7 linked regions of the Xenopus tropicalis genome follow. The protein of the gene in region 1 purifies or fractionates together with the protein of each later gene. This does not show direct contact. Links are inferred from orthologs where the notes say so. Each region holds a gene or a part of one and is shown in the gene's direction. Other genes may lie near its edges. The genes, in order: rbm8a, rnps1, upf2, upf1, ncbp3, upf3a and ddx39b.

Region 1 (4,138 bases):
TGTCGTTACAGTAAGGAACCCCTTCCTATGCTAATGGTGAGATCTCCTTTCCTCCCCACCCCCAATGTATCACTCATTCCCCCTCTCTTGGTAGGGAACCCCATAATCTGACTGTCGTTACAGTAAGGAACCCCTTCCTATGCTGATGGTGAGATCCCCTTTCCTCCCCACCCCCAATGTATCACTCATTCCCCCTCTCTGGGTAGGGAATCCCATAACCTGACTGCCCTTACAGTAAGGAACCCCTTCCTATGCTAATGGTGAGATCTCCTTTCCTCCCCACCCCCAATGTATCACTCATTCCCCCTCTCTGGGTAGGGAATCCCATAATCTGACTGTCGTTACAGTAAGGAACCCCTTCCTATGCTAATGGTGAGATCTCCTTTCCTCCCCACCCCCAATGTATCACTCATTCCCCCTCTCTTGGTAGGGAACCCCATAATCTGACTGTCGTTACAGTAAGGAACCCCTTCCTATGCTGATGGTGAGATCCCCTTTCCTCCCCACCCCCAATGTATCACTCATTCCCCCTCTCTTGGTAGGGAACCCCATAATCTGACTGTCGTTACAGTAAGGAACCCCTTCCTATGCTAATGGTGAGATCTCCTTTCCTCCCCACCCCCAATGTATCACTCATTCCCCTTCTCTTGGTAGGGAACCCCATAACCTGACTGCCCTTACAGTAAGGAACCCCTTCCTATGCTGATGGTGAGATCTCCATGTTTTCAGTCTAGGATGAAGTGCTGAAATAACCGGGGAATGAGTTGCCCCATGCCAGTAGGCAGAGTAACTACAGATGTTGCATTGCTGATGTTCAGGGACGAGGCAGACACCATTACTGTAAATACAAAGGGTCCATAAACCACTGATCCCACAGGGGATATTCACTAGAGTCCATATTTACTATGTTTACAGATGAATTCACTGTTACATGTTGGTGCAAAAAGGGGGCGCAAAGCCAGAAAAACACTGATAAATACCTTCTTCGCAACTATTTCCATTTACACCCCCACAGGAATAAAACCAATACTAATTGGATAGAATCATGTATGCTAACAGAGGCTTTCCTCAGATTACATACAGATAAACATTGCATTATATAAAACACAAGGTGCTACTGCTCATCTGATTAATACATCTCTAATGTACATTTAATGGGGCCGCTTCAGTACTAAACCTAGCCAGACCTCCCCAACATGGCGCGCAACTGGAGGACATTTCGTCACTTCCGTCATAGTGGCGCTTTCTTTACTACGTAGTTTGCCGTGCCGGAAGCTGTTGTTTAGCGCTGCCGAGAAGCCGAGCTTCAGTACGCGGTAACTCGGAGCTGGTCGGTAGCGAACATGGCGGATGTGCTGGATTTACACGAAGCTGGCGGGGAAGACTTCGCTATGGATGAAGATGGGGACGGTATGGCTGCGTGTAGGGCTGGTGTATAGAGTGTGCCGCTCAGTAAGGAGGCCGGGAATGAGGCCTGGTGCTTGCGGGACTGATAGGGATGAGCGCTCAGAGAGGGTACAGCACAAGGGGGGGGGGGGGGGGGGATAACGGGGACCACGTGGTTTTATAAAGGCTGCTGGGAAATTGTGCCGCTTTCAGCCTCCCTGTGGGCTTTTACGTTTTACAATATTCTCTCTGGCCAACCATTTATTGTTATCTGTGTGTGTCCCTACCAAGAGAGGGGGAATGAGTGATACATTGGGGGTGGGGGGGGGAAAGGGGATCTCACCATCAGCATAGGAAGGGGTTCCTTACTGTAAGGGCAGTCAGGTTATGGGGTTCCCTACCCAGAGAGGGGGAATGAGTGATTCATTGGGGTGGGGAGGAAAGGAGATCTCACCATCAGCATAGGAAGGGGTTCCTTACTGTAAGGGCAGTCAGGTTATGGGGTTCCCTACCAAGAGAGGGGGAATGAGTGATACATTGGGGGTGGGGAGGAAAGGGGATCTCACCATCAGCATAGGAAGGGGTTCCTTACTGTAAGGGCAGTCAGGTTATGGGGTTCCCTACCAAGAGAGGGGGAATGAGTGATACATTGGGGGTGGGGAGGAAAGGAGATCTCACCATCAGCATAGGAAGGGGTTCCTTACTGTAAGGGCAGTCAGGTTATGGGGTTCCCTACCCAGAGAGGGGGAATGAGTGATTCACTGGGGGTGGGGAGGAAAGGGGATCTCACCATCAGCATAGGAAGGGGTTCCTTACTGTAAGGGCAGTCAGGTTATGGGGTTCCCTACCAAGAGAGGGGGAATGAGTGATACATTGGGGGTGGGGAGGAAAGGAGATCTCACCATCAGCATAGGAAGGGGTTCCTTACTGTAAGGGCAGTCAGGTTATGGGGTTCCCTACCCAGAGAGGGGGAATGAGTGATTCACTGGGGGTGGGGAGGAAAGGGGATCTCACCATCAGCATAGGAAGGGGTTCCTTACTGTAAGGGCAGTCAGGTTATGGGTTCCCTACCAAGAGAGGGGGAATGAGTGATACATTGGGGGTGGGGAGGAAAGGGGATCTCACCATCAGCATAGGAAGGGGTTCCTTACTGTAAGGGCAGTCAGGTTATGGGGTTCCCTACCCAGAGAGGGGGAATGAGTGATACATTGGGGGTGGGGAGGAAAGGGGATCTCACCATCAGCATAGGAAGGGGTTCCTTACTGTAAGGGCAGTCAGGTTATGGGGTTCCCTACCCAGAGAGGGGGAATGAGTGATTCACTGGGGGTGGGGAGGAAAGGGGATCTCACCATCAGCATAGGAAGGGGTTCCTTACTGTAAGGGCAGTCAGGTTATGGGGTTCCCTACCAAGAGAGGGGGAATGAGTGATACATTGGGGGTGGGGAGGAAAGGGTATCTCACCATCAGCATAGGAAGGGGTTCCTTACTATGAGGGCAAGTTGTGACTGCAGTTTGTATAGAAGGCAGGGTGAGTGAATAAGGAGCCTTTATACTGTGGGGTTGGCCAGACCAGTGGGATTGGGCAGTAGGACAGTGAGAGTAGTATTAGTTGGTTCCGGTCTATTGAAATGAAGTAATGAACTGATGAGAAGCCTCTTGATTAAACTGGATTTCATTGGACCTTGTAGAGGTTATAGGTCATGTGACTGGTGGTGCCGCCATATTGGTTGGAGTATGACTGGTAATGTACGTTTCCTTTGGTTCCAGAGAGTATCCACAAACTGAAGGAAAAGGCCAAGAAAAGGAAGGGCAGAGGATTCGGTGCAGGTAGGTCCCTGATTGGCTGGTACAAGCGCCAGGCTGTAGGGTTACTTGTTGGCGATGGAGTTCACTTTGTTGTCCTTTTGCTTTAAGATGAAGGCACCAGAGCGAGGATCCGGGAAGACTATGACAGTGTGGAGCAGGATGGGGACGAGCCGGGCCCCCAAAGATGTAAGTGCCCCACCCCCCTCTCCCTGTCATTTCTGTTATACGGCCCCACAGAACTGCCCTTGTGTAGGGACCCCGGCGCTGCCAGTGCTGTATGGGGGTACGCCCGCAGAAACTACTGCTGCACTGCATGCTGGGAGCCCTTAGTCCTCCGTGCTGGAACCCACTGCAGCCTGAAAGCAGAACTCTTTATTGCTGCACTATGGTTTGTGGCCAGGGGGTGGCACTGTTGCTCTCTCCCTGTCTCATTTACTTGGGCTGAGACACAGAAGGCGGGGCCTGTTGGGGGGAGGTCCTATCACTGTATAACGGGGTGCACTCTCCCCCCGCAGCTGTGGAAGGCTGGATCCTGTTTGTGACCGGGGTGCACGAGGAAGCCACAGAGGAGGATATACACGATAAGTTTGGAGAATTTGGGGAGATCAAGAACATCCACCTGAATCTGGACCGGAGGACCGGCTTCCTTAAGGTGAGTGGTTCTGTTCCAGTCATTTGGGCCGGGTTAATATTCTCACCTTGTTCCGTGTTGAAGAGATGCATTATGGGACTAAAATTCCCTCTGCTTCCCATAATCCATCACTTCTCATTGGAAAAAGGTGAGGATTGGCTTGAACCCATTGGGCTATTTTGGATCAGGATTCATTGTCCCCTTTGGGTAACATTTAATATGATGTCACTATTTTGAGACAATTTGCAATTGGTCTTCATATTTTATTACTGGTAGCTTCTGAATTATTTTTATTTCAGGGCTGTCCTGTTTGCA
Region 2 (4,000 bases), on another chromosome or scaffold:
GGTACTTTTATTTCATTGCTTGCAACTAATGATCTGAAGAAAACAGGAGGTTGGTGTTAGAGTCATGAATAAAACCAATATCATTTCTCACTACATACATTAGGACACAAGTAATTCTGACCCCTACCCATGATAAAACTGCCCAGTCCTTCTTTATACGCAGTCATCAGAGATACAGACACCCACTCCTCATATGGGAACATACCTTTCACTTCCAACTAACAGACATCAGGGCACCTACCTCTCACCTCCTCCTAATACATCCACAGAACCTGCTTCTCTCCCCACCTAATAAAAATAGGTCAGGGGGCTCATTAAAGGTGATGCTGATACCAATCAAACCCTTCAGGCAGGCAATTCTGTGTTGTGAGTACAGTAACTGACCCTTTAAGTTCTCTGTGGATTTGAGTGTAGCATTAAAAGGAATATGCACCTTATTTATAAGAGGGGAAATATTCCCTTTATGAGAGGACAGATCAGAACAGCTTCCCTCCAAACCTTAGGGACCTTCTGGAAGGTTCAATGAAACCTTACTGAATCCTGTACAATGTATACAAACCTTATGCTTGCCCTAGGCGACCTAAGTAAGGTTTATGGATGCCCTTTATAACTCAGGCAAACCTAAGGGTTGCCCTGGGCAACTCTAGCGGGACTTATGGTGGCCTTGACAACTCATGCAAACCCCCTAGACAGCCGGGTTTATGGGGGTTCCCAACAACTCAAGCAAACCTTATGGGGAGCTAGACTAGTTGCACTCTTTTTTCCCAAAGGTAAAGGGTCACCCTTGCTTTTTGTCACACTCACCACCTTATGGGCCCCAAAAGTGCGACGAGACACGTAAAGCAATCCTCCCATCCGGAAGAACTAACATCCCTGCACCTCTCCTAACACAGGCCACACTTGCCTTTATAGCGGCTGTCCCTCGCACCTATCTATATACCGACGCGTAGTTGTACTTCTGGCACAGTTTCTTTATAACCATATCGCACTTAGTGTTTGTTTACGGAGCAAAACAGGAAGCAGCATAGGTTTCCGCTCCGTGCAATAGACATACACGCACACATATTAACCCCGTCACTCCTAGAAATGACAATTACTAGTAATGTTCCTGCTGCAACTCGGGACTATCCTACTTCTTTAAAAGGCTGAATCGCATTTGCGTCCGCTGTTGTGCCACGCCCACGTCCAGCAATGTGTGACGTCAGCGCCAAGGCGACCAGAGTCGCTTATCTTTTGTTTCAAGATGGCGGCGACACGTCACAACGAACGCGACGGTTTATCTGATCTTAGAAGGGACAGGCAACGAAAGAGCGGCAAAATGTAAGCGGAGCTCCATAATCTTTTTCCATCCTGCAGCGCTGCTTTCCGTACGAGTTGGATATTGGTGGGACGGTGCAGGGGAAGCATGGCGGGTTCTATTCACCGATGTATTGATTAAGAGAGAGCAGGGTGGTGTTTGGGATTGGCCCCGAACGCAGTACCGAGGATTTATGGGGGTATAGGCCGCAGCTGATTGGATACACATATCGCTGCGTCTATACCTTCCTGGGGAGTTGTTTCTTCTGCACACTATTCCCTTTGTATATGGGTTTGGGCGATTTCTTCTTTATGTAAAATGAATTCTTTCTGAGCTTGCACTGGTTAAATTGTTGTGTTTATGTAAGGGGACAACAAAAATGGCTGCCACTGCTTGACTGCCCCCGTCTAGGGAAGGCTGCCTTGTATTTCTCTCTGGGTATATTCCCTCAATGTGTATATGCTTTGCACTGGATTTTTTCATTCATTGATATGTGCTGCTGCCCTGTGGGTTTGCTTACGTTTTGTATTGGGGCACCATTAGTTTTAGTGCTTTAATATATGTATTAAATGTCTGGAAAAACCTTGGGGTTCTTGGATCTCCAGTAATTCTGTATTTATATAACAGCAACATTATACTCCATTTACATCAGAACCTGCCCCAGTCTAAGGGTTACATATAAACTCCTTGTAGATAGTGACCCCCAGCTGGAATTGAACATTAGGACCCCAGCGCTGCCCAAACGTACTATGCTCTACCCCATTGTTATTAAAGGAACAGTAACACCAAAAAAATTAAAGTTTTTTTTTAAAGTAATTATAATATAATGTATTGTTGCCCTGCACTGGTAAAAATTGTGTTTGCTACAGTAACACTACTATAGTTTATATAAATAAGCTGCTGTGTAGCCATGGGGGCAGCCATTAAAGTTGGAAAAAAGGAGAAAAGGCACAGGTTACATAGCAGATAACAGATAAGTTCTGTAGAATACAATAGTTTATCTGTTATCTCCTATGTGCCTGTGCCTTTTCTCCTTTGAATGGCTGCCCCCGTGGCTAAACAGCAGCTTTGTTTATATAAATTTCTGAGGCAAACACACCAGTTGTACCAGTGCAGGGCAGCAGTATATTTTATTATTATTTTTATACATTTTCATTTTTTGGTGTTACTGTTCCTTTAAGTGCCACAGTTGCATGGATATAGGTGTTATAGGGCCACCATGGCATTTTAAATCCCCCCTTCCTTGTTTTCTAATTGTTCAACTTATCAGGATAAAGGTTTCAAGTGTTGCCTGCAAATTAATGAGGAGGGATTAAGGGCTCTGGTACACGGGGAGATTAGTCGCCCGCGGCAAAACTCCCTGCTCGCGGGCGACTAATCTCCCCGAGTTGCCTTCCCTCTGCCATCCCACCGGCGAACATGTAAGTCGCCGGCGGGATGGCAGACGCGGCGGCGCGATTTCGCGCAAATCGCCGAAAAAGACTCGCGAGGCTTTTTCGGCGATTTCCCGAAATCGCCTCGCCGGTGTAAGTCGCCGGTGGGATGGCAGAGGGAAGGCAACTCGGGGAGATTAGTCGCCCGCGAGCAGGGAGTTTTGCCGCGGGCGACTAATCTCCCCGTGTACCAGAGCCCTTAAGGAGAGATACAATACAAGGTGGTGGCCATAGCTATGTTGTACATATATGCTTTGAGGTTGGGGAGAGTCTGAACCACACTGACCTGCGTGTTTCCAGTACCCATAATAAAGCCTCCATCTGCGTTTACACAGACCAACATAATTTAACTTTTAATCGCTGTAATAACCGGTACATGTTACTCCCACTTGCATTTTTCAGCTGTTTGACCCTGTATCACCCTTACAGGAACATTCTAAAAAAAAAAAAGCAGTTGCGCACCAGATGAAGTGCTCAGCTGTACGCGGCTTAAAGCGGAAGTCAGCGTTTTATTGTAAAGGTCTGATTGGTTGCTATGGGTAACATCACCACTGAAGTTTGTCTCCAGGGGTAATAAGTACGCCCTTAAGTGATTCTCCAGAATGGCCGTCCTGCTCATAATTCAGTAGGCAAGTGTGCACTGCATTGGCAAGCAGGGTACTCAGTGCCCAAGAACCCCCAATACCCAGTTGCACCAATGCTGTAGAAGGTTTGGAGATCAGCAAAGGAGAGATTTTCATCAGGAGTGCAGCACTGCTGGCTGGGTACTGGCTCTTAAGGCACAAACCCCTATAAGAAGGCACTTTGGTTCCCAGAAGCAGCCACATAATACAGCACTGACACTCCACTAAGCACTGGAAGGCATTATTTTTCATGGGAGGAATCGGGTTTCTTGTGCTTCAGGCTGCTCTAGGTTGGATAATATAGTTATTATTAGTTGCCTTGAAAGTGCCATCTCCAGGATATATGGTACCCCCACTCCAGTGAATATAATCACTTACCTGATACTCTGGGCCAGACATCTGTGTGCTGAAGAGTGCACCAGCCTGGGGCTTAAGAAAAGATTGCAGTGTGGCACTCTTACAGATGTACCCTGGGCCAGTGCGTTTTTCAGCAAACAGGAGCACTCGCCTGGGGTATTAGCAAAGCGTTGGCAATTACTGGAGTGCACCTAACATTTGGCACCCCCCAGTGATTATACATTTCCTTCTCCTTTAATCCCATGCACCCCACCAGTTCTTTAGCCCTACCATCCTAGCGTATCACCTGG
Region 3 (3,500 bases), on another chromosome or scaffold:
GACCAGTGATCTCATCCCCTTTAAAGAAAGTTTTTCTGTACAGTTGTTTCACATTAAAGTAATGAGAAATCAAATGCAATATCTGTTAAGAGTAAAAGTAATGAATAAACTAATGTATGCATTGTTGGCTTCCTAAATTTTTTTCTTGTAGGTTAACCAGCCAAAATTTAATCAGCGGAGGATAAGCAGTGCAAAGTTCCTTGGGGAGCTTTACAACTATAGAATGGTGGAATCTGCAGTTATATTTCGCACACTTTATTCATTTATTTCCTTTGGTGTAAATTCTGATGGAAGCCCCAGCCCACTTGATCCTCCTGAACACTTGTTCCGCATTCGATTAGTTTGCACTATCCTTGACACTTGTGGCCAGTATTTTGACCGTGGATCAAGCAAGAGAAAGCTTGATTGTTTTCTTGTTTATTTTCAGGTATGTAACTGCAACTTAAACATATCTCTTCATAATTATATGTGAGGTGTCAATTGATTTAGAAATCTTGATTAAGCTCTCTGTTTATTATTAACCAGAATTGTTTAAAACTTAATTGAAGACCATGCTACACTAGGGACATATTTTTAATAACGTGACATTGGAATACAAAATCATGGCCACTTCAGTGCGCAAGGTACACTGCATGCATTTAGACATACTTATAAAGCTGTGTAATGAATTTTAGATTTTATCTTTCTGTTTGAGTTAGATAAATTGTTAACTTCTTTACAAAGAACTTAGTCTCTTGCATTAGTCAGTTTCTGATTTCACTTTTTATGTGTCTTACTTTAGCGCTACGTTTGGTGGAAGAAAAGTCTTGATGTGTGGACTAAAGACCACCCATTTCCAATAGATATTGATTATATGATAAGTGATACCTTGGAGCTTCTGAGGCCAAAAATGAAGCTCTGTGCCTCACTGAATGAATCTGTCCGCCAAGTGCAGGATTTGGAGCGTGAGTTTCTGACAAAGCTAGGTAAGAAAAACAGCTTCTTGTTAAACTTTTGCAGAGAGCTACAAAGGGCTATTGCACACTAATTTACATGTTTCATTCAATCTTAGACTGGCACTTTTGCATTAATCAATAGAAATAAAGATTATAGCGACCTTAATAGTAGTATGCCTTGCCTACAAATGGTGGACAAAAAGAAACATGAAATTAAAAAAAAATTATCATATCAATCACAACTACAAAGGTAGCTCATAGTAAGTTGATTGCCAATAAGCTTTATAAGTCGTTCCAAGAGTTCCAAGGTGATACGAAACCGTCTTTTAAGCTGTACAAACAATCTTATTGCAATGCAGGGGCATCAGTCTCATCAGTCCCAAACTCATACACCTCTCCTCCCGCTCCACAAGTGCCGCCCCTCTCTGCCACTTGCACTGGCTACCTGTCACATACAGGATTCAGTTCAAGATTCTCGCACTCACCTTCAAAGCGCTCACTGGTGCCGCACCACTCTATTTAACCACCCTAATCGCCAAGTACACCCCCAGACGTAACCTTCGCTCTAGACACAACCTCCTTCTCTTCTCCTCACTCATCACCTCCTCTCACTCTCGCATCCAGGACTTCTTACGCGCTGCACCTATCCTCTAGAATGCTCTTCCCCATCCCATTAGGCACTGCCAGACTCTGCAAGCCTTTAAATGGTCTCTTAAAACTCACCTTTTCACTCAAGCCTATAACCTAAACCCCCCAAACATTCACTAACCACTTGTTTTCACCTCTCACTCTGCACTTACTGTCACTTTACATACCTACATGATCTCTAACTCCATGCTAGTTACCCGACCTTATGTCTCAGCCTTTCTTTTTAGAATGTAAGCTCTTGCGAGCAGGGCCCTCCCCCTAGTTTCTCCGATCCTCATCCAATGTAACTGCAAACCATTTTTTGTGAATTGTTTATATGTACATGTTAACTGTTCTGTCTTTTGTACCCCTCTCTTCTGTAAAGCACTGCTTAAATTGATGGCACTATATAAATAATAATAATAATCAGTCACAGTCGTAAGTTGAGCTCCATGGCTTGTATAGACTGACACTTTCCAAGACTTTTCCAAGTATTTATACAGTGCAAAATAGTAACAGGGTGTTTTAATAAGCATATGTATGACCCTTTCTTAAAAAAAACAGAGATGCATAAAGCTGTAACTTATTGTAGGGTTGCCTTTCAGAACTGCTTGTGTGCAAGGGCATTGCACAAATAACCAGGATCTGGTGTAAAGGGCACAGAACCCAAATCTAAAGGGGTGGCCAATGGTGTGCTGCCCCTATCTGCCTATAATCCCTTCTAATGTACTTGTACAGAGTAATCGTGTCCTCTCGCACGCACCTTTTTGCCAAAGAAAACAACCAAACTTGATAGTCTAACCAAATAGTTTAAATTTTCTATCCCCTTTACCATTTTTGTTGCACGTCTTTGCACTCTCTCCAGCTCACTAATATCCTTCTTAATGACTGGTGCCCAAAACTGTACCGCATACTCAAGGTGAGGCTTTACCTGAGACCTATAAAGAGGCAACATTATGTTTTCATCCCTTGAGTCAATACACTATTTGATGCAAGACAACACTTTTATTTAATGATTGCTCTTTATGGTTGTATATGGGCCAAGGAATTTGAGGTCAGTTTGCTGTTTTATTGTTCATTCATGATGTTCACGTATGTCAAGTTGAAAACTCTCCCTTAAGACACTACTAGATTAATTTGAGAGTTTTGTATTTTTGCTATTTTGTCCATCCCCTTAATATTGTCTGGAGAGAAGTTTCATATGAAAAATGTCAAACTACTTTGAAACTAGCACTTATATTGCAGTGTCACCCACTGTAACCTACAGCACTTATATCTGCCTATTTGTGTCTGCTAAGTTACCCTCCCATTTAGATTGTAAGCTCTACAGAATCCTCTTGATTCTTACTTATTGCAACTGTACCTTGTATTTATTGTTATACTTTGTATTTATCTATTATTATTTCAATAACCCCCTGTTGTATTAACATATTCTACTGTACAGCGCTGCGTACATAAGTAGCGCTTTATAAATAAACATATACATACATACTAGTACTTCTTGGCAACAAAATATGTACAATGAACAATCTGTCAACTATTCAGCATATGTATGAAAATATGTTTTGGGTTTTTTTGTTTTTTTTCCCCCCTAAATACTGGTACTTTAATAGCACTGGGAAAATGTGCACTAACACATAGTAACCTGTAAGTGATTTTTTTTTCAGGCATTTAGATTTAGACCTATAAAAGCAAAGATTTGATTGTTTGCCATGGGTCAGTGCCCAGGTGCAAATCTCCATTGTGTTAAATTGAATAGCAGTGTAAAGAACTGTTACAGTGGTAGGAGCTCGAAAGATAGGGTGTTTATGCATTAAATTATGTATATTTCACTAGGAGAATTTGTGATGTTTTTACCAGTAGATGTAGGTAAGGCTTTTATTAGAACTCCTGTTCTTTAATTAAAAAAAAATTAATGAGAAATAGGGTACAAGTGTG
Region 4 (3,966 bases), on another chromosome or scaffold:
AGCAGTAATTATTTTTACTACTGGGTAAAATGATCAAGGAATGATAAAAATCGACCGCTCAGTCTCAGAAATAAACAACAATTTATAGTTATTCCTGCATGAACTGATATAAAGCACAAAAAGTCCACTGTATGTGTAAAATAAAAAATATATTTTACTAGGGGCTTGCTGATCGCATTACCCAAAGGCAGTCTCCTACAGTCAAATGCTTAGCAGCTGCTACTGGGCAACCCCTCTACAGTCCTTTCTCGTCACTGTGTAAAGATACCAACTTTCCATCCTCCATTATGGTCATCTGGACAGATGGCACAATCCATTATTCCTAGTGGCCAGGCCTCTGTAGTTGATTATGCCCACTGCTTAGCACCCCTGCAATGATATATTATCACTTATTAGCCACTGTATTGTGAAGACTACAGTCCAATATTTCACAAGGCTGCCTTCTCGCAGGAAACTATTGCGCCACTACAAACCTATCTGCAACATGTGCATTCGCCTCTTGGCACAGGGAATCCCCCAGTGCAATAAGAATAACTAGTACCAACATATTTCTACATAAGGAAGCTCACTCAATACTGCAGCAGTTTTTGCTCAGATCAGTGAAAGGACTGCACATTTTAGATTTTTTTTAAGTTGTACCAATTCCTGCAAATGTCAGACAACTCTCATACGAAGATATGGTGTTTTCTGATTTTCCAAGTAAACACCTAATTTATTTCGTTCAAAACCAGGTAACCCTGTCGGAGGTGTTCAAGTTTCTTTCTCCCGAACTGAAGACGCCATAATTATCATGCCTATGCTGCATGACAGGAACCAACAGGGCCCGGCCCCGATAAATAAATGCAGAAAATTAGTATCGCTACACAAAACTAATAAGTACTATCGCACGCATATAGGACAATCTCTTCCGCTGGCGCTAACATTTGCATCTCTTTGCTCGTTTAATTGCTAAACTCATTTTGATATCAGCCTAGCTTAGTAGGTGCCGACGTGTCTGTTACGTCACTCGTCTCCGCCCAGATTAAAAACAAGTTCTGCCTCTGCCGTCTATACTACCGTTCCCTCTTCCGATATAACCCAATTACATATTGATAGCGCGTCTTACTGCCCGAGAATCTTACTATTGAACAACAAATAACTGACACCAGCCCTGTTGTCAATAGCAACTAATAGCTACTGCTGTCGTCCCAACGTGATTACGTCACGTTGGCGCGCAAGCGCGTTCCTTCCTGTGCGGCTACGACTGACGTCATCCAGGACGGAGGGAGCTCGGTCGGAGGCAGTTCATATTTTTTTCTTTTTACCCGTGTTTCGTGTCTATTAGATAAGCGCTTCGTGGTGGCATCGAAGCCTTTGGGGACTCCATTAAAGCTGTGTAGGGATTAAAAAATTAATCGCTTTCCTGTTTCCTCGGCCGTCACAATGAGCGTGGAGGCGTACGGGCCCAGCTCGCAGACCCTCACTTTCTTGGATACGGAGGAGGCCGAGCTGCTCGGGGCCGACACTCAGGGCTCAGAGTTTGAGTTCACAGACTTCACGCTGCCTAGCCAGACACAGACACAAGGGCAAAGCCAGAACCAGCTGGACGGGCAGGTGAGAGACATGGCAGCTTCCGGGGGCGGGAATGTGCTTGTCAGGCCTCGCGTGTGTCGCTGCCGCTTCCATTGCCAGGCGGCATTAAGGTAGCGGGATGGAGTGCCCTCAAAATGTGCTTTCTTTATAAACTTCAGATGATTTCCGATTTTGTCTATGTTACGTTATATTTACCGTGTACGTAGTTGTATTACAGGGCTGGAAAGCTAAAAAATAGTTATTTATACTCGTGGTTAAATTGCTAACTCTCAACTTTGTTTGAATCGCAACTTTCTACATTAGGTCGCGACTCTTACATTGTAGTTCAACCCCTACCTAATGGGCAAAAGTTGTACATTATGTACTGTTCATATGCGATAGAAGCAAAATGGATAATCGAACTCATTGTATCCCTCGCTGACTTGACACATTATTCAGTCCCTTATTCCATGTTGGAATAGTGGCTTTCAGGTTCTCTATCCTAGGAGGTCTTTCACATAGAAACAGATTGTGAGCTCCACTGGGTCAGGGACTAATGGAAATGAAATGCATTGACGCAAAATAAAAGCCGATACATCAAAGTGCTGCTTGTGGGCTGGAAAATGGACTGTCACAAATTGTGTGAGTATCTTTGAACATCAGCAACTCACACAACTTTTCATTTGTACACTGTACACTTACCTTATTGCTGGTGAAATAATGTTTCTGGAACTTGCCCCTTCTGATGGCATCTCAAATGGATAGCAAATAACAAATGGTTAGTACTTCAAATCAGTGCACGTTCTCCAATGGCCACTGGTACACAAGTGACTTGAGTTGAAGCAGCAAATTAATTATTCTTCAGATTAAATGTTTTTATTGCACTTGGGAAGTGACAGCATTGTTTCAGGCAATGTTTAGCCCTTTATCAAGCTCATAAGAGGACCAAGCATGGCCCAAAACTTTCCTGTAATGCCCTAAGTATGCTGTTAAAGGAACAGTAACACCAAAAAATGAAAGTGTATAAAAGTAACTCAAATATAATGTGCTGCTGCCCTGCACTGGTAAAAGTTGTGTGTTTACTTCAGAAAGTCTACTATAGTTTATATAAATAAGCTGCTATGTAGCCATGGAGGCAGCCATTCAAAGGAGAAAAGGCACATAGCAGATAACAGATAAAGCACTATTGTATTCTACAGAACTTATCTGTTATCTGCTATGTAACCTGTGCCTTTTCTCCTTTTTTCCAGCTTGAATGGCTGCCCCCGGGGCTACACAGCAGCTTATTTATATAAATTATAGTAGTGTTACTGTAGCAAACACACCAGTTTTACCAGGGCAGGGCAACAGTGCATTACATTTTTATTACTTTAAAGCTCTTTCATTTTTTGGTGTTACTGTTCCTTTAAGGTATTTTGTGAAAAATAATCGTGGTCCTCTTCCAACTCTAGTCAGTCATCTCTGATGTCTGTTATGGTGGTAGGTTCTGTCCCTTCTCAATCTCTCACCAGGTAAAGCCTGGGTTGAAAAGGGGTGTGTAAGGTGGGTGCGGGCTCATAATTGGTAGGAAGAGAAATTAGCGGCAGATTCTAAAAGGATGTTAAATGGGCGCGTAGTACCAAGGACAAATATTTCTACCTCCTAAAAAATAAAGGGAAGCATCTTTACATGTTACAATTTGTGCTTCTTTAATGAGTTTGCCAAGAAATATTACTATTGCTAGTAGCTTCTACTATGCTTTTTGGAAATGATGCTTAAAACACTATGCCATGTTCACAACATACAACAAATTTACTATACAAATGAGGGTGTTTTTTTTTTTTTAAATCTTTATTAAAAGTGGTCACAATAATAGCACAGTATCTCTGATCATCCATCTGTAACAAATACCGTAAAGTGGATTGACATTTGAAGGCAAGGGAAAATTAGTATAACGTATATTTTATACAGTTACATAGGGTTTTAAAAAGTCCAGAGTCCATCAAGTTCAACCCTTCCAAGTAAACACAGACCTATACTTACCAATCTATACTATCACATACATAAACTATATATACAACCACTAATACTAACTGTAGATATTAGTATCACAATAGCCTTGGATACTATGCTTGTTCAAAAACTCGACAGTCTAACCTCAGAGCTTAAATCTTCCATCCCCTTTACCAGTTTAGTTGCACGTCTCTGCACTCTCTCCAGCTCTGGTATCATAAGAAAAGAAATTTACACTGAATACAAATAACTATTTAGTTCTAGTGATCAGTCCAAACAGTCACAATAAAGGGACCATGACTAACCATATTGTTATAGGTTTTTTAGTTGCATGTCTCTGCACTCTCCCAGGTCATTAATATCCTTAAGGACTGGAGCCCAAAACTGCACTGCATACTCAAGGTGAGGCCTTACCAGGGACCT
Region 5 (3,500 bases), on another chromosome or scaffold:
TTCCTGGCAAAACGAACCATATAGCGAATTTCTAGCACAAATTAATGAAAATTTTCACCATTTGCAAAACCTCAAAATTATACTGCAAATCAGTATTACAAGAAAAAATTTGCACACTATTAAAATGTAATTATCTTCATAGTGGAAAAGTTTAGAATGATACTTAGAAATACAGTTTATCTTCTGATCTCTGCTGTTGCTACATTTTTCAAATTAATATAGTACATACAGCACTAAAACTGCTCTACAAGTAATACATAGGAGCCCTTCATTTTAGCTGATATCTAGGAATGGTCAGTTTGAACCTTATTCTTAGGTTTGATTAATTCTCGTGGATAACAGATCAGCCTGCACCTGTTGTGTGACATTTCAAATGTGTCTGTGCGTTTTTTTAAAAACTGTATGGTCAGAATAAATACAAATGTGTTTTTACACCAGAGCACAATTTAGAAGGAACATTGTATGCAGTTTATGCACCATTTTATGTCTGTGAGCTTGCAGAGACAGTGACTGGTATTTTAGCTGCCTCTACTGCTTTCATTTCACTCCAAGCACACACACGCGTATATGACTAGTGTGTATTTAGTTCCTGTCTGCAGTGACTCAGATTGGTGTGAAAGGGAATATTTAAAGGCATTTAAGACCACAGTTACAGTTTTGTTGTTCTATGCATTTCTCTTGGCTTTTGATACCTCCTGTGAGTACAGGTTTTTGACCTCTTATCCAGAATTCTTAGAACCTGGGGTTTTCCGGATAAAGGATCTTTCCATAATTGGGATATCCACACCCCAAGTCTGTTTGAAACATTCTACCATGAAATAAACCCAATAGGATTGTTGCCACCAATAAGGATTAAGTATATCTTAGTTGGGATCAAGTACAAGGTACTCTTTTACTATTACAGAGAAAAAGGAAATCAATTTTAAAAATTAGAATTATTTGATTAAAATGGAGTCTATGGGAGATGCCGGTCACAGTATTCCTCCATGTATGTGTGTGTATATGTATAAATGCAATGTATTGTATATACTCAATGAAATGTTACTATACCATAAACGTTGGGCTTTACATATGTTTTGTTTAATATACTCGTCATAGGCATAAGGCATCATATGGGTGAAATTAATTGAGGGCAGTAAATCCATGGCTTACAGTTTCTAATGGAAGTAGAAAGGGTTTAGAGAATGCATAAATAAGAAGGAAAATGCAGTGGGATTGTAGGAGTCAGTGTGAAATTACAGGAAGAATCAGTAGTGGGGCCGAGGTAATTTAGAGATGAAAAACTGGCATTCAGGGAGATAGAGGGTCTGTAATAAGGATGGTGGATAAATAAGGGGAGCATTATAAGATTTTATGACAGTACTTAACTATATATTGCCATATAGCAAAGCAATGAATTACATGCAATGCATTAGTAACTGGTAGATTGCACTTGCATGGAATGTTTGGTGCACTGGACCCCCATAAACGAACCCAGGCAGGTGCTTGTGTAAGAACTTATAGCTAGTAATGGGTTATTGCATAAAAAGTTTCAAACATGCGACCCATAAATGCTTCCTACAAATTAGTTGCTTTGAGTTATAAGACCTGTCTTATTTTATGATACAAAACTCTGTTTCCATTGTTAGATGCAATATTATACTTTCCTAATAAACACAAATAAAGACTTTTAAGCAAGGGGATCTCCTTCCTTTTGTCTTTTTAACACTTAGCTGTTAAATCTTTGTAACTGTACTTTTTATTAGTGTAATTGTATTGACCCTATTCTATGAATTTATTGTGCTGTACAGCACTGTGTACATATGTAGCACTATATGAATAGAATTATACATACATAAAATAATTGTAATCACAGGCTGCATAATGGAGTTAACTGATTGCTGTTAGATACTAACTCAGTGTTGGTTTTGTTTTTAAGGAGGCTATCGAGAAAAAGGAACAGAGGGCAAAGCGGTTTCATTTTCGAGCAGAAGTCAGTGACCAACAAAGGAATGTGGTACTAGATCGAGAAATGATTAGAAAAGGTGGTTATGAGAGGCTTTTCCATTGTAAATTACCTATGGGTGCTATGTGTTGTCTTTAGTGTTGCATTTAGTTATTTGATCATTTAAAGGAGAAGGAAAGGCTAATAAAGAGTTAATCTCTAGCTGCAGGCATACCTTCAGTTCTCTCAATAGTGCCCTTAAGTCTCCCAATATTTCACCTGTTCAGAAGATCTGAAGCCAAACAGGAATAAAAAACGCAGAGCTAGATAAAGAGGATTCGCATAATGCATTGCTCGTGCATTGACTATGTGAATAGGACACTAGGTGGCGCATGCACATTGCTCGATCTTAGTAAGAGAAGCCTGCGAGCGGGCGGTGGTGTTCGATCGCCACGGGGCGGTTTGCAAGCGGGGGAATCCAGGAATCCAAGATGGCGGCTGTGACAGGCTGCAAATACACCTAAGTTACAAGCCAATTTTTGTGAGATGTTATTTTATTTTAAAAAATAAATTTGGTGATTTGCTTTGGGCAAGGGAGCTCTACACTATATTAAGGGATACAACAGTAGTAGCCTTTCCTTGCTCTTTAACATCATTGCTTAAAATTGCCAAAAGAAAATTATTTTTTAAATTTTGCTTTCTAAAACAAACCCTTTCAGATTTTGACACTGTTTTGCTATATACCTTGCCAATACCGTTTGCCCAAGGGTTAGGTCTGTTCCTTGGCAGTAATAGAATTGTACCACCAGATATATTTACTGCCAACAGTGATGTTTAAAATAATTTATGAGGCGGTTTCCTCCATTATCTTTGATTTCTTCAGTTTATGAAATGCAAAAGAAAAACTTCTAACATGTTTTTTCACTATTTCCTTAGCAATCCCCAAAGTCCGCCTTGAAACTCTTTATGTCTATGGTGTTGATGATATGAGCACTGAGGATATCTTTGCCTTCTTTAAGCAATACCCTCCAGGATACATTGAATGGCTGGATGACAGCTCCTGTAAGTGTATTCCTATTTTGCTAGATGCTTGGATAGAATTCATTTTTCTATACAATACAGAATGCCATTTGTTATGAGTGCATATTGGTGCAGTAACTACGATTCCAACAATCCAGTCTTGTTTTAGCCTTCTGATCTTACTTTCAAATACACCTGAAGCCTTAAAACAGTCTCAATAGTGCCATTATTTGTATGTCACTTTTTCTGTATCTAAAGAGAAACATATTTTCTGGTGATTGTGTTTAGTTCTAAAAATGTTCTTTTTCTGGAATAGTTTTAACTGTTTTCATTTGCAGATAATATTAAAGAATATCCACAAGTGCTCCTAATATATTTGGTATGGCAGCAATATCCATTCCACAACTCTGATAGCATGTATCATTTCAGTTCTTCCTCAGAAACTTAGAGATGGACACCAGTGCTGAATGCAGAAAGATAGCTCTGGATCTGTTGTTCTGTAGTCACCAGTAGTATAAATCCCATTTGTAGAAGGGGTGAACTAATTAACACGTGC
Region 6 (3,500 bases), on another chromosome or scaffold:
ACACATCACAGAGTAAGTGCATGCAAAGTATTACTCCAGTTTTTTTAATATGGCAGTAATACATAGAACATATAGTGTATCCAGAACAGTGTGCCCTTTAAAGAACAAGCAAAGATGGATTCACTGGTGACAGTATGTTAGACAACCCCAAGGGAATCCAATTGCTAAGCATCTGAATACAATTGATTTCTTCTGTGATTAGCTATGGAGGCACAATACAAAAATCAGTGTGAAGAACAGAAATTTCTGCCTCATCAGTGATCCATTATGTCTTTTATATGCCTTTCATTTGCAAAATATTTTCAATCCCTTGTGATCACTTAACATTATTTTTATCTTTTTATTTTTTCACAGGCCAGGAATACCCTGCAGTGGTTGAATTTGCTCCTTTCCAAAAGATTTCTAAAAAGAAGCTAAAGAAAAAAGATGCAAAAGCAGGAAGTATAGCAGAAGGCACGGATACAAATTTTATGTTCATAAATATGCCTTGCAGTTTGTTGCTATCAGAAATATGTATGCATGTTAGGTGGGGTAAAAAAAGACATACGTATACAAGCAGTGTGCCAGATGTACATACTGCTACATCACTCTTGTAAAACAGGGGTCCCCGACCTTTTTAGCACCATGGGCCGGTAGGGGGGGGGGGTGCGCTGTGGCCCACTGCCATGCAATCCGCGGCCCGGCGGTTGGGGACCCCTGTTGTAAAAGACATCTGCAAGGTATCACTGAGAGTAGGAAAGATTAACTTATAGGTGAGAATTCTTAGTCTTTTTTTAGGAGTGCAAAAATTCATGCATTTTAGATGCATTGTTACTACTACTTAAGCACACTGTATTTAAATAAAAATTGTGCTGCAAAGAGTAGTGTACTCATAGCTCAGCATTTTCAATCAACTTTGTTTTTAAGTTATTTTTTTTATTTCAGCATACATAATTTTCTTGCATCTGACACATTTGAATTAATATTAGGACTGTGATATATTGTAAAATGTATAAAAACATATAATACAAGCACATTGTGACCACTTTGGCACATATATTTACTTATAAAAATGCTTGTGTTAAGATGGCAAAAGCATATTCTCAAACCACGTGTACATAGCCTTAGAAGCAACTCACCTAGGATGCCGTTTTCCATAGCCATTCAGTTATTAACATTAGTGAATAGCCAAAGCAGCCACAGTTGTACAGTTACAGAAGCTAATTTATTAGCAATGGACACATTTGCACACAGATAGTAATTTTGGCTACCAATTAACTTTTGCTTTCATTATTCTAACTTCAGCTGGTTGAAAAAATCTAACCACTTATTGGTTGCTATCACTTACTCTCCCAGGTTCAAATTTGTATAGTGTTGGCAAATAAACCACATAGTTTTATACAGCACTACATAGTACTAGGGTTAAGAGCAAGGACATTGGTTTTTGTTCTTGTCTTCATGTTTTTGCAAAAATGCACACAACAAATGAAGGTTTTTAGCAAACCTAAAATAAATATGTAAACACACTAATAACTAATAAAGTGCCCATATTCATGTTTTTGCAAGCCTTGCATCCATTTTCAGTCCAGATAAGCAATAATTCCTTTTACTATCTTTAATTTATTAATTAATTAAATTTTAGACCTTGAGTACAAGAAATTTTTAGAAAACTACTGTGCTGAGGAAGAGAAAGTTTATGCAAATCCAGAGACTCTGCTGGGAGAAATTGAAGCAAAAACAAAGGAACTAATTGGTAAGTTTTTCAAATACATATGATATTGTGCTGTAATGGTTAAATGCTATGGCTTAAGATTTACATCCTCCTTTAAGATTTTTTTTTTAACTGGTATTTTTCTAAAAGCAAGTTTTGATGAAAATTCTGTATTGATGGTCTGCCATTCCAGAGTGGCTGTGTACAGGCACTAATATTATCATGGATACTGGGGTGTGACATCAGTACAGGACCAATTATCCATGGGGCCTTACCCATGGGCCACTTTCTGGCAATAGGACAAGGAAATCCCAATTCACTGTGGGGGGTCAAAATGTTAGGTACCCTGGTCCAGTGCTAAAGAAGTGCTGGACTGCTATTTTTCTGTCTATTTTTAGGCATCTCTATGCATCTTAACTCCACCCAAACACAACTTTAGGTTTTTGAAAAGTAAATATAATTTCAAGCTATTTTGCAATATACATCAACTGACTGAAAAATATGTAGCCTTTTCATGATTTTTAAATGTAATAATATGATTTGAAACAGTTACCTAAGCCTGGTTCTCCTGCTGATCTGGAAGACTACTTTGGGAAAAAAAAAAAAATCCGATATTACACTACCGCACATGTGCAAGCCTTATTCTTCACAAGGGATGTATAGGAGAGACATGTAAGGTGACATCAGGGTGTAAATTAGGCTTTCCTTGTCCTTTAAAGTAAAATTAAATCCATAACGCAGAATTTTATAACAGTGATGATCCAGGCCTTCTGGAGTTTTGCACAGGAGCTCTCCATTTTGGATTTTATTAGATGTGTCAGTGACATCAAAATAATAGACTACATTCTTCCATTGCATAAGTTAACCTACATGGCAGCCAAGTTTGAGACAGTGTGAAAAATAAGTAAATTTTTATGTTTACACTGGAACTGCCATAATTATCCTTATAAATTATTTATAGTTTTAGATCAAATTGAGGAATGTGATTTGTCTGTAAATTTGTTTTTAGCCAGAAGAACAACTCCTCTACTGGAATTTATAAAGAACAGGAAACTGGAAAAACAGGTAACCATTTCATGCCGAATAATAAATACAAATTGATGCCTTTTACAGTATATGAGCCCTGAAAGCATTAATAGCTGTTTTTTAATTCAAAGAGAATAAGAGAAGAAAAAAGAGAAGAGAGAAGGAGGCGTGAACTTGAGAAGAAACGGATAAGAGAAGAAGAAAAGAGAAAACGTAGAGAAGAGGAAAGGCGTAAACGGAAAGAAGCAGATAAGCAAAAGAAAATCTCTGAAAAAGAAATTAGAATTAAGGTGACTTAAACCATGGTTATATACCTATATCCATTGCAGTAATGTGTTAAAAGAAGTGTGGGAAGGTTGTAAACATGTTAACTTTATTATGACAGTTATGTTTGTGTAGCACCTGTGATAACTATAGACTAAATTGCTTCACACTTTTCCCTGTGGGAATGGGTCCGGTCTGGACTGAGATTTAAAATAGGCCCTGGCATTTCATACAACGAGGTCCAACCATTCCCCCACAGGCTCAATCAATAGTGACTGTCTGTGGCATCATACAGCAGCCCCTTTGGCATCTGCCATTCTGGGCCTGGAACACCTTCACCCTGTGGAGTGTTGGTACAATATAAATTAACCAGGAGCTAGATGCTCTTTAAACTGTGGTATCTCCAAGACTAATTCTGCTTCAAATGAAACATTTAAATTGAAGCATTTTGAGTAGTGTGATATATTTTTAAATGTGAGCTAAGCTTATTTAATAACATTGACGGATTTGTATCTCCCTA
Region 7 (3,149 bases), about 68 Mb from region 1:
ACTTTTTGAATTTTTTGGATATCAACAGTACATTATATTTCATTTACTTTAAAAAATCTTTGGTGTTACTGTTCCTTTAAGGCATTGAAATGTTTTTGTTTGTATTTGAAAATAAGTTCTATGGCATAAGTGGTATTTTGAGTGCCAAAGCTAGTGATCCTGAGCTGTGCTATATGCTTATGTCAGGTGTATGCCTACAATTTGAGGTTTGCCATCGTATGACTTAAGACAAGCATCCTCAAACTACAGCCAGATCCGGCCCCTGCTTTGTCCTCACCCCTGGCAGCGGGGAGCTGGGAGATAGAGAACGGAGCAGAGAGCAGGAGGCTGCAGCGGGGAAACTTGGAGAGGGAGGAGGCAGGAGTGTGCTGTAGTTTGACCCCGCAGTGGGGAGCAGGCAATGAGAGAGGGCCATAGTTGGAGGACTATAGTCCTGCCCCCCCAACATTGTGAGGGGTCATAAACTGGCCCGCTGTTTAAAAAGTTTGACTTAGGATGACTTTGAATTGGTGAGCTGCATCTGGGTCCCATATTTTTAATAAACTTTTACACAGGTGGTGATCTTTGTGAAATCAGTCCAGCGCTGCATCGCACTTGCTCAGCTACTAGTGGAACAGAACTTCCCAGCCATAGCGATTCACCGTGGCATGTCACAAGAGGAAAGGTAGGAAGAAAAAACTAGGATTTTTTTCTTTTCAAAGCAGAAAGATTTATAATTTCTCTTATGTGAAATTTGCAGGCTCTCACGCTATCAACAATTTAAGGATTTCCAGAGGCGAATTTTAGTTGCTACAAACCTGTTTGGCCGTGGAATGGACATTGAGAGGGTTAACATTGCTTTCAACTATGATATGCCAGAGGACTCTGATACGTACCTGCACAGGGTCTGTATTCATGGCATTAGCCTGTAGCACATCTGTATCTTTGTGAGTGGTTCATTTACTAACAGTCATTCTTATGACAGGTGGCTCGAGCTGGCAGATTTGGTACAAAAGGTTTGGCTATTACATTTGTCTCTGATGAGGGGGATGCTAAAATTCTAAATGAAGTTCAAGATCGTTTTGAAGTTAACATCAGTGAGCTGCCTGATGAAATTGATATCTCCTCGTACAGTGAGTTTGCATTTTGAGTGTTCCTTTATAACACTATTGCATAGTTGATGTATGCCTTCTCTCACTTAAAATCTTTACAATATTTGTGATTTTGGTGCTTCAAAATCAATAACTTGGTTTTACAAAGATTGCTAAAGTATGTTTGCCTTCGTTTCTACTTAATCTGGTCCTATCACTTAGTGAGGATATAATAACAGTAGCATGTTGACCTGGTTCTGTAAGCCCGCATTATTCAGGGGGCCAATGACCTGATCATCCTGATTGGGTCTGTGTGTGGGTTGCCAAATCAGGCAAGATGTTAAGGCATATAGCTATACTTGCCTAATAAATTAGCTTGCCTTTAAATTGTGGTGCGCTCAAAGAATTTTGTGCTACGCACACCTGCACACACAATTTATTTTTTTTCCGGACACAGACAAGAAATTAGAGGGAACATTGTTTCAAATCTATTTTAAAGGAGAAAAAAAGGTAAAAACTAAGTAAGCTTTATCAGAAAGGTCTATGTAAATGCAGCCATAAGCACTCACAGAAATGCTGCACTGACTTCTGTCAAAAGATTTCTTGTGTCTGTAATTCATGTGCCAAAGACACACAGCTCTCTGCTGTCTCCTCTTTCCTGCTCCCCCCTCCCTCAAGAATGCTAAGAACTCACTCCCCCCCTTTAGGAATGTGGATCTGAGCCATTCAGCAGGAAGCTGACTCATAGTCTGAGCATGTACACTTTGGTCTCGGTCTAGGAGTGAGGCATTATGGGAACTTGCTTTACACAGCTCAGCGTTTTTTCTTCCTGTTTGGCTTCTGATCATCTGAACAGGTGAAATATGGGGAGACTTAAGGGCACTATTGAGACAACTGAAGGTATGCCTGCAGCTTGAGATTAACTCTTTATTAGCCTTTCTTCTTCTTTAACTATAGAGGAGGGATTCTAAACCTATGGTTTATGACCCAAAAATTGGTTTCCATGCTGTTTCACAATCCCGCTAAATAATGTTTTTTGTTTGTGAAGCCAATTGTGCAACATAATTTGAGCCCCCAAGAAAAAAATTTTAAGAACCACTGCTCTTCTTTCAGTTGAACAGACACGGTGAACCTGAATCTATTCTGCTTCCTGCGTGCTGCTTCCCTCTGCATTGGTTTTCTTCTAAGCGTGGGAAAAGGAACTCACCAGCCAAAATGTCACCGAAAGAGCCTGGAAGACTTTCTTCATCCAGCCCACATCTGTGTATTGTACATTGAACACAGCAGCACACGTCTTTAAATTCCCTTTAAGGGTCCTGCAGACTACTGCAACAGTGGTTAAAATAACATAGTAGAAACTTCCAGAACCCATATAATCTAGTTCCATTTCTGTTGGTATTAATAAAGGAGCAGTGCTCTGTGGGTTTCTGGTATAGTGTTGTATTTGATTAGTTTTATACCGTATCCAGTGAGGATCAACTTTTGTTTAGTAACACTGCTGTGACCGGTGCTGTCACTGACTTGTATTTTGTGAATTTATGACAAGAACATGTCACAAAAAAATAAAAGTTACTACAGATGTGATGTAATTTTATTTTTCATTGTTGGCTAAAGTAACTATACAAATATTTAAAAAAAACAAAAAAAACTGAATTTAAAAAATTACAGAATTTATAAAAGAAGAGCAAAGCATTATTTCTTGATGGTGGGGCAGGGTACAAAAATAAACTGTGTCATTGCAGGTTCTTGCTCTTCCCACACATTCCATCAGTGTTGCATTCATGAGGGGTGGGCAGCAGGCAGCCTGTTGGCTTCCCTTTCCTGCCCCCTAACTTGCTCTAAGTTCAGAGTTAGCCTGGCAGGAGAGGGAGCCCTGTACTTATCGCCTGCCTTGCATCCACAAGGGATGCCTTTTGCACCCTGTGCCACATAAATTAATGAAAACCATTTTTTTTTTTCAAATAATTAAAACAAAAGCAAAAATTATGTTCAGCAGAAGCCCTTTTCATTAAAATCATGCTGGACAAGGGGGTATGATGTCTATTTAAAGGAGCAATATGCACCTTTTTTTACATTAAC

The links.
Region 2: the proteins of rbm8a (region 1) and rnps1 purify together in Homo sapiens (co-immunoprecipitation; 4 studies listed by BioGRID and IntAct, with this or other methods). This does not show direct contact. The link is inferred for Xenopus tropicalis from reciprocal best matches to the Homo sapiens genes RBM8A and RNPS1.
Region 3: the proteins of rbm8a (region 1) and upf2 purify together in Homo sapiens (co-immunoprecipitation; 6 studies listed by BioGRID and IntAct, with this or other methods). This does not show direct contact. The link is inferred for Xenopus tropicalis from reciprocal best matches to the Homo sapiens genes RBM8A and UPF2.
Region 4: the proteins of rbm8a (region 1) and upf1 purify together in Homo sapiens (co-immunoprecipitation; 7 studies listed by BioGRID and IntAct, with this or other methods). This does not show direct contact. The link is inferred for Xenopus tropicalis from reciprocal best matches to the Homo sapiens genes RBM8A and UPF1.
Region 5: the proteins of rbm8a (region 1) and ncbp3 purify together in Homo sapiens (co-immunoprecipitation; 3 studies listed by BioGRID and IntAct, with this or other methods). This does not show direct contact. The link is inferred for Xenopus tropicalis from reciprocal best matches to the Homo sapiens genes RBM8A and NCBP3.
Region 6: the proteins of rbm8a (region 1) and upf3a purify together in Homo sapiens (co-immunoprecipitation; 4 studies listed by BioGRID and IntAct, with this or other methods). This does not show direct contact. The link is inferred for Xenopus tropicalis from reciprocal best matches to the Homo sapiens genes RBM8A and UPF3A.
Region 7: the proteins of rbm8a (region 1) and ddx39b purify together in Homo sapiens (co-immunoprecipitation; 4 studies listed by BioGRID and IntAct, with this or other methods). This does not show direct contact. The link is inferred for Xenopus tropicalis from reciprocal best matches to the Homo sapiens genes RBM8A and DDX39B.

Annotation. Positions count from the first base shown.
Region 1 is NC_030684.2:142,190,208-142,194,345, forward strand, and holds the start of rbm8a (RNA-binding protein 8A), read left to right. Parts: upstream 1-1,338; 5' UTR 1,339-1,343; coding exon 1,344-1,410; intron 1,411-3,153; coding exon 3,154-3,213; intron 3,214-3,300; coding exon 3,301-3,378; intron 3,379-3,707; coding exon 3,708-3,844; intron 3,845-4,138.
Region 2 is NC_030685.2:21,739,514-21,743,513, forward strand, and holds the start of rnps1 (RNA-binding protein with serine-rich domain 1), read left to right. Parts: upstream 1-1,200; 5' UTR 1,201-1,318; coding exon 1,319-1,320; intron 1,321-4,000. UniProt on the Homo sapiens protein: Part of pre- and post-splicing multiprotein mRNP complexes. Auxiliary component of the splicing-dependent multiprotein exon junction complex (EJC) deposited at splice junction on mRNAs.
Region 3 is NC_030679.2:82,322,579-82,326,078, forward strand, and holds part of upf2 (regulator of nonsense transcripts 2), read left to right. Parts: intron 1-151; coding exon 152-427; intron 428-781; coding exon 782-965; intron 966-3,500. UniProt on the Homo sapiens protein: Involved in nonsense-mediated decay (NMD) of mRNAs containing premature stop codons by associating with the nuclear exon junction complex (EJC).
Region 4 is NC_030677.2:98,881,279-98,885,244, reverse strand, and holds the start of upf1 (regulator of nonsense transcripts 1), read left to right. Parts: upstream 1-1,166; 5' UTR 1,167-1,422; coding exon 1,423-1,593; intron 1,594-3,966. UniProt on the Homo sapiens protein: RNA-dependent helicase required for nonsense-mediated decay (NMD) of aberrant mRNAs containing premature stop codons and modulates the expression level of normal mRNAs.
Region 5 is NC_030678.2:48,492,125-48,495,624, forward strand, and holds part of ncbp3 (nuclear cap-binding protein subunit 3), read left to right. Parts: intron 1-1,918; coding exon 1,919-2,024; intron 2,025-2,860; coding exon 2,861-2,986; intron 2,987-3,500. UniProt on the Homo sapiens protein: Associates with NCBP1/CBP80 to form an alternative cap-binding complex (CBC) which plays a key role in mRNA export. NCBP3 serves as adapter protein linking the capped RNAs (m7GpppG-capped RNA) to NCBP1/CBP80.
Region 6 is NC_030678.2:111,830,022-111,833,521, forward strand, and holds part of upf3a (regulator of nonsense transcripts 3A), read left to right. Parts: intron 1-354; coding exon 355-453; intron 454-1,621; coding exon 1,622-1,732; intron 1,733-2,699; coding exon 2,700-2,755; intron 2,756-2,847; coding exon 2,848-3,006; intron 3,007-3,500. UniProt on the Homo sapiens protein: Involved in nonsense-mediated decay (NMD) of mRNAs containing premature stop codons by associating with the nuclear exon junction complex (EJC) and serving as link between the EJC core and NMD machinery.
Region 7 is NC_030684.2:74,189,668-74,192,816, reverse strand, and holds the end of ddx39b (spliceosome RNA helicase DDX39B), read left to right. Parts: intron 1-554; coding exon 555-664; intron 665-739; coding exon 740-884; intron 885-964; coding exon 965-1,112; intron 1,113-2,183; coding exon 2,184-2,200; 3' UTR 2,201-2,649; downstream 2,650-3,149. UniProt on the Homo sapiens protein: Involved in nuclear export of spliced and unspliced mRNA. Component of the TREX complex which is thought to couple mRNA transcription, processing and nuclear export, and specifically associates with spliced mRNA and not with unspliced pre-mRNA.